4 linked regions of the Oryzias latipes genome follow. The protein of the gene in region 1 interacts with the protein of each later gene in a pairwise test. Links are inferred from orthologs where the notes say so. Each region holds a gene or a part of one and is shown on either strand. Other genes may lie near its edges.

Region 1 (3,838 bases):
CAGAGAAATGTTGCTGTTGCCATCTAACGGCAGCTGCGGAGCAAATGTAGGAAATTACAGTCATTTTTTAAAGGAAGGGGAGCAAGACGCTGAACAGGAACCTTGTAGGATCTCTGGAGAACTGTTGTAATTTCACACTTAGAAAGCCTGCACAGCAACAGTTAAACGTTCAATTTAAACTTAAATGTTTCCAAGAAGTGTCAAAAATATTTATTGTTAAGGTGTATTATAAGGATTAACTCATACCTGCAGTATATTGTATGTGTGTTTACATAAAGTATTTTCATCGCATCTGCTTCTTTTTAGGTGCTATTTCACATGTTTGCCTCAGAAAATATGGTTGCCATAAAAAAAAAGGCAAGATGAAACATGTTTGGACTAATAAACATTTTATGTACAAGGAAAAGCTTCAAATTCTGTTGCAACGCAATGTTTTGTATAGTTAATGCAGATGATGAAAAAATTATTGATTTCTTTTTCAAATAATGATAATAATACATTTTACAAAATTATGTACAAGACATTAGTTTGTATAAAACTGGGCTAATGTTTGTTTGTAAAGTTCATTGTTTAATTGCAGTTACACAACATGGTCACTAGAGAGCGACCTTGATTTACGTGTTCTTATTTTTAATACTTCTGTATGGGGCGCCGAATGTCTTTTGTTTTATGCAGTCAGTTGAAATTTTTCTTTTTATTTACCAATGAAAGGTGATTTTTAACAATTGGATTTTATAAAACAGACATTTTCGAAGTAAAAAGCACAGAATTTACGTGAATTTACTGAAAGGCAAATTTAAAATAACATTCAGGCAATGCTGATAAGATTTTTGGGAGCCATACTTGATCTTGATTAGTTTAAGATGAAGTTTTTTTTTTTAAGATTAAAACAGTTTAGTAATCTATTTTAAAGATTTATGTCTGTGGAGAAAAATCTGCTTCATCAAGAAGAGACTTTTGTATCGTGCAAGCAATTTGTGGAATTATGTAACACAGTATTGGAATTTCTTTCGTCTGCACAGCTAATCAATATGGCAAAAAGAGTTTTTGCTTTTCTCTGAATTATTTGTGTCATATTACATGATACATTTGTGAAAACTGCCATCACATTAATGAAAATAAACTTTGCACTTAAATCAGGTTGTGTTATTGTTTTTTTAATTGTACATTTTAAACTAAATGTGTTTTAAAAGGTGTTAGTCTGTCAGGCTGTCAGTTATTCTTTTGCTTTGCTGATTAGTTCATGTTAATTGTACAAATTTTAACTGCAATCTGCCTAGTGAACAGTAGGTGGCAGCAGTGATTCAAAAGCCCCCATCGGTCAGGTAATGACAAAAAAGGAAAAGGGGGCGTGTTTTTGTCTTAGGGGAATCATACTAATACTTTGAAGCGAGCCTCTGAGTTTGACTGCATTAGTGTGAGCTGCGACGATTTGACAGCCAAACGGGGATTACTTCATGCTTCAGGTACTCGTAAGGGAACTTTAGGAATTTAGTTCATCTTATTGGAGAGAAAAAAAGTAAAAATTCTGAACGATAAAATGAAAACGGAATTTTTCTGGAAGATGTTGAATGTACATCTTAAAAGGAATAAATGAAGGCCAGGGCCCCAAAACTTAAAGGGCATGGTGATCTGCATGTTTGGGAGAGCCTTGTCAAATTTATTTTTGCATTTATTTGACTTCTACTTTTTTAGTCATATTTTGCACTGAGAATCATGAATTCTTTTTTTACGTTGCAGCTTGATAGTTTCCTAAAGTTTAAGACTTAAAATGTAAATTATTTTTTTTAGGTTTTTCTTACATTTGTAAGTCATTAATATCTTCCATGTCATCGTAAAATCAGGGAATAAATGTGGGGATAAAGGAAATCATTTGAGTTTAATTAATTTTGTTAGTAAACCCATGATTTCTATGGGAGTTGTCTTTTTTGTGGTTGATATTTATGCACTTTCATATTTTTATGGACTCTTGAACAAACAAACAAACATTTGAATTTTAGTTTTTAGAATTTTCCAGGTTGTTTTGTAATGATTTGTGTGATGACTGTTTTTTTTAGTAACTTTGGTCGTCAGTCAGCTCAGGTGTGAGACGATGCAGCAAAGCAGCAGCAGCAGCAGCAGCAGGTTGATGCAGCAGCTGTGGGAAAGATGGACGTCCTCGGTGAAAAACCTTCAGGAAGATCCCTGGGTGAGGCACATTTCCGGGTCTGTGTAAAAGTTGTCTCTCTTTGGTGGATTCCTGCTGAATTCTCTCTCCGTCAGGTTGCTCGGTTGATGACCACGAGGATCGGCCAGTACGTCAGCAGCCATCCTTTCTTAGCTCTCACTCTGCTGATGTTCAGCATCATGGCTGCCCTTCCTGTTGGCATCTTCCTCACATTTGCCCTTGTGACAGCCATCGTTTCAGCAACAGGTTTTGTTTTCGTTGAAGGTAGGTATTCTCCACTCAGAAGGAACCATTTCTTCCTCCTTTTTGGTGACTTGTTCCCGCATTCACTACTTTGCTGTTCCAGTGATCCTTCTGATTGTTGGAGGCTTGACCCTGCTGTCCATCCTCGTCGGCATCGCCTTGTTCTCTCTGCTGGTTTCAGTCGTCGTTAATGCATTCATCAGCTCCATTCCCAGCCAACTGAAAAATTATTTCACACACTGGGCGAAGGTAGAGCTGCAGCATTGATCCGTCGTGCATATCTGGTGATGATTTAATGGTGGACTCTGTTCTCTGCAGAATGGCGTCAACCAGGCGCAGAAGACTGAGAATGAAACTTCCGGATTAAAGGAGTTGTAGTAGATTGCTTTGTCCTCCTAAAAGTTTTCATATTTTGAGGCGATTTGGATCCAATCTGAACGTACTGAATGTTAGCCTGATGAATGTGGTTTGTTGTTGGAACAGACTTGCTGAGCACCAAACTAACTTATGCATGAATGTCCACACCCAAAATGTGGTTTAAGAGGTTTTACAGGATAATTCATCCGTCAAAGTACATGCTTGAGTCTTTTTACAAGTCAATGTCTTTACAGCAAAGTATATATCTGTTATTAATCATCTTATTCAAAGTTATCCAAATATTAACTCTAATTTTCAACTGTGATGTGCCTTGACTTTTTTTTTTCTTCTTGCTGATCTTAAAATGTTTTACATTTCTTGGATTTGACATTCCTTCTATTTTATTCAGCAAATTTTCTATATTTTTTTTTAAATAGAAACATCCACCATCTTGGTTTTTACGATACAATGGAAGTTGTTTCTTTTTAAAAATAAAGTTTCTTGAATTGATCTTTGCCTTTCTTTGAAGTGTTTTCAAATTACAAACTGCTTTCTTTTATTAACAATCAATCAATCAGCATATAGGAGAGATGACTAGTTTTACCTGCACAGGTCACACCCGTAGATTTAAAATGAAGCCTTTAGACCAAACAATTTAAATGAAACTGTAATCTTAGTCTTAGTATTGGCCCCTGACAGCTGCAAAAAGTCTCATTTACAAAGAAGTCTTTCTCTTCTTTTGCAGTTTTCTAAGTAAACTGTTTGACATTAAACTGACATTTGTAAAATTGATTTGCAGCTTAACTGAATGGTTTTATATAAACCCTGAAAAAACTAGCTTTTTCCTCTTCTGGTTCTCTGAAAAGAAGCTGTTCCAAATGCCATTCCTATGAGGTCACTAACGTTTCAGTGATTTTCCACATTTTAACCTCTCATTTGAGCCACTGCTTGTTTTGGAGATTTTTTTTTTTTTGCCCTCCAGTAAAACACAAACTCACAATGGGGTCAGTTGACCAACTGGGCCAGAATCGTTTCCTCTATTTGGATTTTACAGAATGTCTTGGATCGTTC
Region 2 (3,567 bases), on another chromosome or scaffold:
TAATGGTAAAAAAAACGGCTGATAACGGGTAAATGCTTTACCTGTTTGTCAGGGTCTCCTACGCCTTAATTGACCTATAAAAGGCAGAGGAATGCTTGTCGTTAAAATAATCCCAGATTGAATTGTATGGTGTCAAAAAACTTAAATCTCAAGTCATTCATTTTTTTTCTTTTTCTTTTTTTTTAGGGGAAAATAAGAAATCAGTTCTGGACTCGAGCCCTTTCCTGTCCGAGGCCAATGCAGAGCGCATCGTCCGAACGCTGTGCAAAGTCAGGGGAGCAGCCCTGAAGCTTGGACAGATGCTCAGCATTCAAGGTGAGCCACCTGGTTTCCTCTGCTCTGAATCAGTTCACCTGTCTTGTATGTCATTTTGTACACATTAATTGAAATCTTTATAAACAGTTTCTTTAAAACCTTTTATTAGTTGCGATTAAATGTGCCGTTTTTCCAGACCATAAGTCTCAGTACCGATGAATGGGTCTATTTTCATATATAGGTTCCTGTTCTGCTGCAGAACAGGAACTATGTACAGAACAGAAACTATAATGCATTAAGGTAGACAAAACTTTCAAATAATATGGCATGACTACACTACCCAGAATGCATAGAAGGGCCAAGAAGCAGGTGATTGGTCAGAGGGGTTGATGGAAAGTGTTCCAGCAAACCTTTGTAATTCCGGTTTTCCTCATCTTATCTGCAATAAGAAGCTTTTGCAAAAAGTGCAACACAACAGATAAGTCAAATGTTATTCACAATACTCTCAACATTGTTCAGTTGTTACATAAAATACAAAACACACACATTTTTCTTGCTGCATTCACTTTGTCAGTTCATAATGTTGAAGCACATTACGTATCACTCTGCCAGTTTTCTGACTACAATACCCATAATGCTATGGCAAAATGTCTTTGTAGTTTACCAAAGTCGTACTAAAACATGTTGTCAAACTTTTGCTAACAGTGTATTACAGAAAATTAATTAATGGTCAGTAAGAACAATGAGAAATCATGCATAAAACAAAGTAGATTTTTGAGAAAATTAAAGGATGTTTAAGTAAAATTTGTTCATCTTCATTCAGTCCACTGTTAGTAGGTCATGAATATTAGTCATTAATAAAAGTTAAGAAGTGTGTATTGAACTTGCAATGACAATATGTTTTTGGTGTGTTAGATTAGATTAGGTAAGAGTCAAAGGGAATAAAAACAAGCTGTGTATGGGTTTACTGCAGATATCACAGATAAGGCGAGCTCATGGCAGTAAACACCCGAGCCTGAAGGACATGAATGTGGCTCAGGTAGCCGCAGTAAACACATCATAACAGTTTTGTTTTTGCTGTGTTGCCCCACTCTCTGACCTTGCCTGGTGAGCATATTTAAAGCGGGATTCGTGTTCTAAACACATTGCAAACTCTTCATTGGAGCTTAGTGAAGTCAGAAAGCGCAGTAGTCAGGGAACTGCTATGCAGACCCTGCACATGTGGGGCTTCTCGGTGCAAAATGGCCCGGCTATCGTTTTACACGATGACAAGTTAATTCCTAAATCATGAGTAAAGAGGTCACAGCAGCTTCTGTGGACGCACTCTTCTTTATGCAGTTCCAGAAATGTTTGGACACGTGTTCATCTGGACGATAGAAAAGGAAACGTCCTCGGTGGCCTTTAATCCCCCTGTTGGAATTTATCTGCTATTGCATGGATGCAGGTTTTTAGCAGAGGATTGTTTATCCTCAGGTCTAAAATAGAGCTAACCTTGAGATGTCTAAACTGTCTTTAGCAGCGATTGTTGGTCTCGGCAGCTGTGACGAGCTCAGCCAACCTTAGCTGCTGCTAAGCTGCATTCCTTTTTGTTGTAATTAAAATAAAGCCTGGAGCCTTTTTTTTAACTCTGTCTGATTGTGTAAGGATTTTTTAGATAACAGATTACATAGAGCGACTTCTTTATAGTTTAAATCAGTGTTTTTCAACCAGTGTGCCGCGGCACACTAGTGTGCTGCGGGAGATGGTCAAGTGTGCCGTGGGAAATTACCCTCATTAATCATTCACTGATCTAAAAACATTTTCCATCTCCAGGAAATCAGCTCTTTGTTCATCCAAACAGGCACTGATAAAACACTGAGTAGTGAGGAATATAAAAGATCTTAAAATTACTTTTTCTTTGTGTTTATTTGATTCTATTAAAGACATTTTGATAAGAATGACGGTATTTACCTGCAGCTACAGCGGTTTGCGGAAAAGTCCCGCCCCTTTACCTGTCTCCACCAATCATTGTTGAAGGCTTAATCACATGTCAGCAGTCTGACCAATCAGAAGTGGTTAAAGTATTCACTTCCTTGTTCTTAATTCTGCTCATAAAGTCTCTCAGTTCCAACAAAAATACCAGCTAAAGCTCGTCTTTAGCGGTGTAGCTTTCCACAGAGTCCGGTGTCAGACCGTGAACAAAACAATGAAGCTCACAGACGCGAGTCTTTCTGCCCTTTTTCGGCAGTTTTCACACTACATCTCCCATGATGCATTGGCTTAAAGGGCCAGTGTCCAAGCGCACAATGAGTGTGCGTGAAATGTCTAGAAACCTCAATGGACAAACAGTTTCTAAATTTTCTAATTTAACTTTTATTTCATCTCTTAGAAAAAACAGCCGCAACTTCCTGCTTTTTTGGCCACAATTATCACAAAAAGCACGTGAGATTGCGGCGGGGGGGGGGGGGCTGTCGATCAATAGAGACCATGAATTTCTGCTTATTTTTTTTATTTTTTGGATGCTGGTGTGCCGCGGGATTTTTGTCAAGGTTAAAGTGTGCCGTGGCTCAAAAAAGGTTGAAAAACACTGGTTTAAATAATGCTTTTAAATTTAAATCTACACTATTTCCATAACATTTATTGATTAATTCTAGAGCAGATTTAGTGTTTTTTTAGAGTGTTTGTTTGGGATTTGACTTAATAATTAATATTTTTTTCCAGATGATGCCTTCATTAATCCACACTTGGCCAAGATTTTCGAGCGCGTCCGACAGAGCGCCGACTTCATGCCAATCAAGCAAATGACAGTAAGACTTTTCTCCCCTGAGAAATGTAGAATTTGCCCATTTTAGATGCTGTGAAGAAAAATAGGATTGATGGATTTAAATTGATACAACATCATGTTTATTGTTGCTCTACAGAAAGCACTAAACAGTGACTTGGGTCCAAATTGGAGAGACAAGCTGGAGTTTTTCGAGGAACGTCCGTTTGCAGCAGCTTCCATTGGGCAGGTTCACCTGGCGAGGATGAAGGACGGCAGAGAGGTGGCCATGAAAATACAGGTTTGGATTAAATTACTAAATAAAACCCTCACACAGTAAAAAAAGAATTGGAAAAAATGGAGAATTATAAGAAATTATGTCAGATTAGACTAAACATGTAGTTGTGTTGATTATTTCCTAGCTACATTTGAACAGGACAGATTTGTAAAATATTTAAAAAACGATATTAAAATAATAGAATATTGTCTGGATGTGTCTCCACAGTATCCTGGTGTGGCTCAGAGTATCAACAGTGACGTTAACAACTTGATGACCGTGCTGAATATGAGCA
Region 3 (3,567 bases), on another chromosome or scaffold:
ACATAGAGGACAAGGATGAAAAAAAGAAACGCTTGCACAAGGTGGGTGAGCCCAGATAAGACGGCTGACGGTGGTATCTGCCCCAAACAGACCTGCACAGGCCCCTGCGGGTCTGTCACCGTCAGCGCCGCATCCTTCTAATGAAGGAGAGGAGGGGCTGAACTTTTCCTGTGACCGTCCTGAGCATCCCAGCAGCAGCACAGCCGCTCTAATTGAAAATTAGCCCAAAGGGATGGAGCGAGTGTGAGATCGCGGCGCTCTCTGAGCCTCTGTGAAACCCACGTCGTTGTCATAAATCTGCAGATGCTGCCGTTTCCTACTTTAAAGCTGGGCTGATGTTATGAATTCCCGCTCAATCGTGTTGACAGATTAAAGCTTTGTGGAGGAAGTCTTTATTTTTTTATAAAAGAATAGGCCCATTTTCTCCACCCCAGATCTGTTCTAACCACTGCCAGATAAACGGTTCTCTGAATAAGTTTAACTTCTTGAAGACCCACTCTGATAAAAAAAACTGTGTTTTTGGTGATTTTGGCATGTTCTTGTGGCATTTTTGTGATGATGGAGGACATTTACATAAAATAATTAAGCTAAAACTGCATTTCTGAGTATTTCTTTATTAAAAATCGTTGTGAATCAGGCGCAGATGGAAAAATGTCAGGATTGGAAAAAAGATCTAATTCCTCGCCTTTCAGACCTACATGTCCATCTTCCAGCTGTCCAGAATGCCTTTTTTTGTCTTTGTGTCATCTTTACTGAGATTTTAACATGGCAGCTATGAAATCTGCTTTTGTTTGTGCGTTTAAAGTTCGACTACGATCATCTTTTGATCTATTTCCAAAGCGTTCCCAGTCAGCCTATTATTATTCCCTCTAAAGCTTAAATCAGAAGTCGTTTTTCTAGAACATAATTTGTGCAAAGCAGTAGGAGTTTATTAGAAATTCACCTCTGAGTTGTGGCCGGGACTGTTAGCGCAGAGTAAGCCCGCCCCCCTTTCCCAACACTCTGTCCTGCTATTTTTACAGCCCCTCTCAACCACAAGCTGGCATTAGCGGTGCAGCAAAAATGGCGGAAATATCAGAACTATCCAGCTAAACAGTTTAGATCCAGATCCGAGCAGAGGGATCGTTCATGGATCTATTTGTCTGACAGTGGACGCATCAGAATGGAGCAGAGCAGAGAGCTTATGACCCGTCGTTTGAAGCTTGTATGTATATACACGCTTTTTCAAACAGCAATTTTTGTCTGATTTAAACAACAAAAAAAACTCAGAAATGCAATTTTAATTAGAAAATGCCACAAAAAAGAAAATTATTTTCATTGGGTTGGGTCTTTCATTCTCAGAAATCAAACTGATCTTCATCATGAACTACCATCCTCATGAACTCCTCCCCAATCCTTCTCTCTTGTGCGAGTAATCTGTACTCTGACTGCTGCATGTTGTCAGGTGGCTCCCGTCATAAAAGCCCGGATGATGGAGTACGGCACAACTATGGTCAGCTACCAACCGCAAGGAGACAAGGTCAACTTCTTCCGCATGGTCATCTCAAATCCCGCTGCTACCTTCGAGGACATCGACTTTCTTATCGAAGAGATTGAACGCCTCGGCCATGATCTATAAGACTCTAAATTCTTTTTCCCCTTGGCGGATGAAATATTTGTCGTGAATGTACTGGTAACGTTTTTTTTCTCTCTCTTTCCTGCAAGTCATATATATATATATATATATATATATATATATATATACATATATATATATTTAAGATTACATTTGAGAAAAATATCTACAAATATGTCCATATATTAAGTATTGCAGCTTTGCCGTGGACCAAGCGGGTCCAGAGCTTTGTAAAAGTGCTTCTGTCTGCCTTTCTCATTGTGTAGTGGGAGTTGTGTTAAGTGACGTAACTATTTGTGTACTTTTTTGTGGGTTGACATGCCTGTCAGTCACAGAGGAAGAGGGTTTTTGTCTTTTTTCCTTCCTCGTTTGCAGAGTACGCGGTAAAGTGCCAAATGTGGTTGTGATCTGTGGAGGCTTTGGGTTCTTCACTTTTACCTCGGCTTCTTCAACTGCCCCCACGTCTGCACAAACAGGGACAATTCCAAACCGTCTGTAACGTTTAGCCGGGTCGTGCATGGTTAGGACACCGGAACATTTACACTATTTACCGATGACGCAAGCTGCTGGCATGTTGGCGAGAATAATCCACAACTTCTAGATTAAACTGGATGCTAATGCTGACAGCAACACTTTTTTATTGGCACTAATGCCGCTCGACAGTGTTGGTGGAACCTTTATTGACACAAACATGCTTCAACCTTTCATTTCGGTTCATCTGCCAAAATAGCATCTCACATCAAGTAAGCCTGTCGCTCTGGTGGTCATTTTGGGTACTGCATGTATTTTATTTGATCTTTCACAATGAGAATACGTTTCAGCTTCCAGAATTTAAAGTCCCTATTTTACGTGTTAACTACCATGTGCAGTTCAATTGAGGGGTTTTCCCGCTGACCCTGTTTCACCAAAAATAACTCCAGAAACTCCTTTTAATTTCTCCCAAGTTCTCCAGACTACACAGTCAAACCATGACTGAATCCATTCACCTGGAACAGTATGTTCAGTTCCCGTACGTGCAGCTAACGTCATCGTTCAGGTATTTTTAGGTATCAAGGTGGCCCCTAAGTGGGTCACCTTAAGTGCATGAAAAATAGACAACAGGGTGCAAGAAGACAATGACACTGAGTGACTAGGACTCAGACGTTAAGCTAAATACAAAATAATCACGCTAAGAAAAAGATCTTACCTATATATGTTTTTATTGAATTTAAGGTTAAATATATAAACTATAACATGGTAAAACTGTTCGGCTTTTGGATAGGCTCTAAAATAAATTATATTAAAGAAAATAACTTTATTGTTAAGGATTTGAGGACTGAGATTTCTTCTGAAGCAATATATTTAAGAAAAGATAGAAAATGAGGCAAACTTGTTCAATTTAACATTATTTCCCACAAAAAAAACACACGTTTCTGTGTTTCGTAAAGATTAAAATGAAAATAATATCTGAGAATTGTCTGTAGCATTTCCTTTAGAACAAGTTAGAAAAGCACAATTTACTCAACATGGTCAATCAGTGTACAATCACATGTGATCATGGACTGTAAATAGTATTTCAAGATGTCCTAAGTACATATCATTGTGTATACATACGTGTATATAAGACATATAGCCAGAGACTATTTGTGAGGTAAAAGTATTCATATTTTCTCTATCTCTGATATAGATCCTGTATTTTCATCTTATTAGTCCTGAAAAGCTTTTTCTTCTGTGTGTGTGTGTCGGAAACGTTGTGACTCTTCTCGCTATTTGAAAGGAAACGTGGTTCAGGCGTCGGCTTAACGGAAAGCAACGGATTTCGTCCTGATTTCCCGCGGAGTCCCACTCGGCCGACCTCCGCCGTTTAGGGTTTGAAACCGATATGCAAAGCCATTTTTAACTCTGTGTTTCAGTGTGCACAAGTGATGACTTGACGATATGTGCCGATGTGTACCTTAAATGTGTTTGTAACT
Region 4 (4,266 bases), on another chromosome or scaffold:
GAACTTGAAAGGAGAATTTCAAGGATGATCTTATTTTTAAAGAAATCACAAAATCTAAAAAAAAAAAACTAAATATACTGTAAAAAAAAAAGACTTCTTTTACTTAAAACGCAAAGACATTATGAACAAAACAAAGCTCTCCAGAACATACAGTCTAAAATCTGTGTCTTTCTTTTTGCTGATTCTGTTTTTTTAGTTCAAACCAATGGAATATATTTTCAAATTTTCATCCAAATCTGAGAGGCAGATGATAAATCACTGCTATATTTGACCCTGGTCTCTTCCAGGTGGACCTGCTTCGTCTGCATAGCGAAGGCGGACCACATCACACAAAAGTGAGTCAGGTAGTGACTCAGCTTGAGCGAGCCTCTCAGGTGACTCAGCAGACCCTCGATGACATGCTGTGCCACACACCTGTGGGGAAGAGGAGACAAGCACCCATGGGCGAGGGGAGGAGGACCAGCCGAAGGACTCTGAAGCCTCTGAAGTCTGCTTTATTGTCAGAGTGAGGCCAGTTCTGCTCAGCGATGCAAATGTCTAATGTGGAGATTCACAATTTGGTTTATAAAAATGAGCTTTGTTACGACGCAGGTACAACTCACAGCAGTATTCATTGTACAGTTTTAAAATTGACCTAGAAAAACATAAATATTTTTATCACAACACTAAAAGTCAGATAACAGACTTTTGTTAGTAGAGATGTTTTTTTTTCCATTCATTTTTCATTATTAAACAAACTTTAACCACACCTCATGATTATTTTTGAAAAACCTCAACTTAGTAAATGTTACTTGAAAATAAGCTGCAGTTTCTTATAAAGACAGTCAAAATAAATCAGGCAGGGATGTATTTTGTATATCCTGTGTAAGTTTGGAGGGGGGTGTAATTGATTATTATATTTAATAAAAAAAATGTTTTGAAGAAGCTCTTTATACAAAAGACTCTTGTTTTTTACTCCAACATCGTTAAGGTTATGTCTTTCCAGATTCATGTATAATACCTGTACATGTATAAGGATTTGCTTCCTCCCACTCTCTTTTCTTGAAAAAAATTTTTTTTAATTCCAAGACATATATATATATATATATATATATATATATATATAAATCCCTTGCTGAGATGACTTGGTTACTTTTTTTATTTTATATAGTAAAAGAAGAGGTTGATGTATCCCACAGTTTTACACATTTTATTTTAACTTATTAAGAATAGCGTTTTATTTTGATTTGATTTATTGTCCCACAATCAAAACCATCCCAATTAATATTGAATTTATTTATGTTTTTTTCAACCCAAACGTCTGAAATGTTCAGGTTGACATTTTCTTCAGAACGGAACGCAAGCCACTAGCACAAACGGCAAGCAGTGTATATTGGAACGCACCCCATGTGTAAACAAACGCGTGACGTATGTCAAATCCCCTCCCACAGTGCATCTCTTTCATTGGCTCGGCTTCAAGTGAACCAGCTGAACCAAGCTTTATCAACTCAAAATTACAAAAAAAAAAAAAAAAATCCCAAAGAACAAGTTTACCGTTTTATAACAAGGGGCTGTAGTTTGAAAAACAAGCGAAAGTGGACTATCCTGTTACGGTTGCCGGTAAAATGCTTTTTAACATCTGCTAGCGCTTAGCTAGCAGTGACGGGAGAAGCCAAGTGGAATTCTGCTGGTGTCGTCAGACGGCTCACCCCAACACGTTTACACAAAGGAAAAAAATATATCTAGACAAACATATATTTTCTTATTTTTAATTGAACCTGGTTTTACTTTTTCGGAGCCCCGTTGGTGAGTAAACTAGCCAAGTCCCAGAGAGTCAGTTTGTTGGCTCTGGCTAACTTTAGACATTTGTGGAAAACACCATGAGCACCGAAGAGACCGCAGCAGCCAACAACACCGCTCCGGAGGATGATGGCATGACCTGGTGGTACAGATGGCTCTGCAAGACAGCAGGAGTTTTAGGAGGAGTGTGTGAGTAATTTCCAGATTAAGTTATTAGTTCATGTGGTTTTTAACAGTTTAATCCCAAGAGTACATACAAAATTATATGTTGGACATGTGTTGACTAAAATTTTCCATTTGGCTGTTGGTTTAATTAGTATATGATATTTTTAAACGAGTAAACCTTTGAGTTTGATTTCGTAAACTAGGCTTTGTCAATGCTTATTGTCCCCTCACCGCACTGGGCACCGCCTTTTCGGCGTGCCAGGCTCACTCCACCACAGCTGCTTGTGACTATGAGCAGATATAGATGCAAAGTCGCCGTTAAACGTCCCTTTTTGTACTTTCTATTGAAGAACACTGACTCACAAGCGCTGCCTGTGCAGATTTCCTGCTGATCAGCCGTTGTTGTCATTCTCAGTGACACTAGGATCACAGAGCCTGCAGTATCGCATGAACGCTGCAGATCCAGTGGGTCCTTTATTATTCAAAGCCTGGAAAGTTTTGAAGGAGCAGGGCGTGCTGCAGACTTTTTCCATGCTTTGAAACAGCTCAGGTGATGAGGCTTGTCATTGAAGCATCAAAGAAAGTCTGCCATTCTGAGATACACCTGCAAACTACAATCAAAGATTAATGGAAACCACTTTAACCAGTTTATTTATTGGGTTTCTGCTGGGTTTTTGGCAACATTTTGTTTCATTCACTGAATTTATAGTTTTTATTTTATTATATTTATTATCATAAGGGTTTGGATCAACCTACAATTTATTTATTTTTGTTTATCTTTCACCAACAACTTTGTTGTTTTCTCTTTTGTTACTAAGCCTATAGCTTTGGAAAATAAAATTGTTAAAGAGAAATATAAAAATATGTAAATCCAAGTATGCACACCAAAGGATTGTACAGATATTTATTTTTAACCCGAGTTTAATATTTTTAAAAAGTTAGTATTAGGAATAATCAAAATCAGAAAACTTTATTGATCCCACAGGGAAACTTGTGAATAGCCTACGTGCACGATAGAACTTCCGGTTAACTTCCGTGTTTCGAGTGTGAGGCCGACAACTTCCTGTTGGTCGTGTTATTGTTGTGGGGAGTTTTGTTGAGTTGCTAGTTTTGAGTAAATAGGAGCGGATTTCGGGTAAAAGAAAGGCGTTTGGTGTTTCAACGCGTGACAAAGACATCACAACATTGTTGTGTACCCGTGTGCGAATTTGTCAAAGTACAACAGTACTAATATAAGCTTTCATAGCTTTCCAGTAGATGTGTCGGTGAGAGCCGAATGGATGGTGAACACGGCGGGAGGACTTCACCCCAAGCAAGACGAGTCGTGTTTCGTATTTGCAGCAATCGGAAGGAAAATGCGTCATGTAAACACGCCGTTCGGAATACTTTGCCCCGGTCAGACTCGTTCGGATCAAAATTTCTTTCCGATCGAGATAGCTGGGTATACCGATCGTTGTTCATGTAAACGGTCATTCCGATCGTGTGTCACTGCTGCTCTGGGTTACGTCATGCATAGACGGTGTTTCGCTGAGAGAAAGCTTTGGAGCTCATACGGGACCGACCAGCGGCTCTGCGGACGCCCCGTGTAAACTAAAGCCCCGCTCCGCTCTCGCCCCGCTGGCTCTCCCCTCTCTTTCAACCCTCACGAGGGAGATGCGGGGGGGATGCGTGTCCACTGAGGTCTGGACCCGGCATCCGAACTCTGCGTTCGGGCTCCGGTGCCAGTGGACCGAGTGAACCTCTCTGAGCAGAGCAGCTGGATTTATTGATGTGTTTGAGGGGAGGGTGCTTTGTTATGTGTGCGTTTTGTTATGTGTGAGAATTCGGACTGCGAGCCGAACCGCCGCTCTGGGTTAGCGGCTGCCGGACTAGCGAGGACAGAGCAGAGCACACAGTGTGTGTGAGCTTTTCAGAGCAGAAATGCCGCTCAGTCCTCAGAAACTGTTCAAAAAAATCACGACACATGGAATTGTGTTTCTAATTGTGCCCCGACAAATAAAGGCTGATCATTTACGTGCAGCCAGGATGCAGATTGCAGCGTTTCCCACATGGTTTGTCCTGGATTTTGTCTCCATCAAAAGGCTAATGTTGTTAGCCTATCCTAACACTGGGTTGTTCTTCAGTTCTGTTCTTCTTCCACACAAAAAAGCACTGACATCAAGGATTAAATATAAAATGATGAGCGAACAGGCACTTCATAATATTCATAAAATTAATAAAAGCACGTTTGGAAGATCGCCTCGTATATTACCGAGCTGCTGCATAAATATGTGACAGCACAGGTTTGTCTACAACGGGACACATTTCCTTTCGGTATTTTAG

The links.
Region 2: the proteins of tmem159 (region 1) and coq8a interact in binary tests that used the Homo sapiens proteins (3 or more experiments, as listed by UniProt). The two-hybrid records come from large-scale screens. The link is inferred for Oryzias latipes from reciprocal best matches to the Homo sapiens genes LDAF1 and COQ8A.
Region 3: the proteins of tmem159 (region 1) and gad2 interact in binary tests that used the Homo sapiens proteins (3 or more experiments, as listed by UniProt). The two-hybrid records come from large-scale screens. The link is inferred for Oryzias latipes from reciprocal best matches to the Homo sapiens genes LDAF1 and GAD2.
Region 4: the proteins of tmem159 (region 1) and cacfd1 interact in binary tests that used the Homo sapiens proteins (3 or more experiments, as listed by UniProt). The two-hybrid records come from large-scale screens. The link is inferred for Oryzias latipes from reciprocal best matches to the Homo sapiens genes LDAF1 and CACFD1.

What each region holds. Positions count from the first base shown.
Region 1 is NC_019866.2:11,613,655-11,617,492, forward strand, and holds tmem159 (promethin), read left to right. Parts: upstream 1-1,359; 5' UTR 1,360-1,466; intron 1,467-2,057; 5' UTR 2,058-2,092; coding exon 2,093-2,188; intron 2,189-2,262; coding exon 2,263-2,431; intron 2,432-2,513; coding exon 2,514-2,659; intron 2,660-2,728; coding exon 2,729-2,788; 3' UTR 2,789-3,277; downstream 3,278-3,838. UniProt on the Homo sapiens protein: Plays an important role in the formation of lipid droplets (LD) which are storage organelles at the center of lipid and energy homeostasis. In association with BSCL2/seipin, defines the sites of LD formation in the endoplasmic reticulum.
Region 2 is NC_019882.2:16,014,943-16,018,509, reverse strand, and holds part of coq8a (atypical kinase COQ8A, mitochondrial), read left to right. Parts: intron 1-186; coding exon 187-315; intron 316-2,955; coding exon 2,956-3,041; intron 3,042-3,155; coding exon 3,156-3,296; intron 3,297-3,500; coding exon 3,501-3,567. UniProt on the Homo sapiens protein: Atypical kinase involved in the biosynthesis of coenzyme Q, also named ubiquinone, an essential lipid-soluble electron transporter for aerobic cellular respiration.
Region 3 is NC_019878.2:23,106,604-23,110,170, reverse strand, and holds part of gad2 (glutamate decarboxylase 2), read left to right. Parts: coding exon 1-41; intron 42-1,444; coding exon 1,445-1,618; 3' UTR 1,619-3,567. UniProt on the Homo sapiens protein: Catalyzes the production of GABA.
Region 4 is NC_019870.2:7,533,408-7,537,673, forward strand, and holds the start of cacfd1 (calcium channel flower homolog), read left to right. Parts: upstream 1-1,399; 5' UTR 1,400-1,859; coding exon 1,860-1,968; intron 1,969-4,266. Other genes in the region: ptcd2 (pentatricopeptide repeat-containing protein 2, mitochondrial), read left to right, coding at 288-509. UniProt on the Homo sapiens protein: Transmembrane protein which mediates synaptic endocytosis and fitness-based cell culling.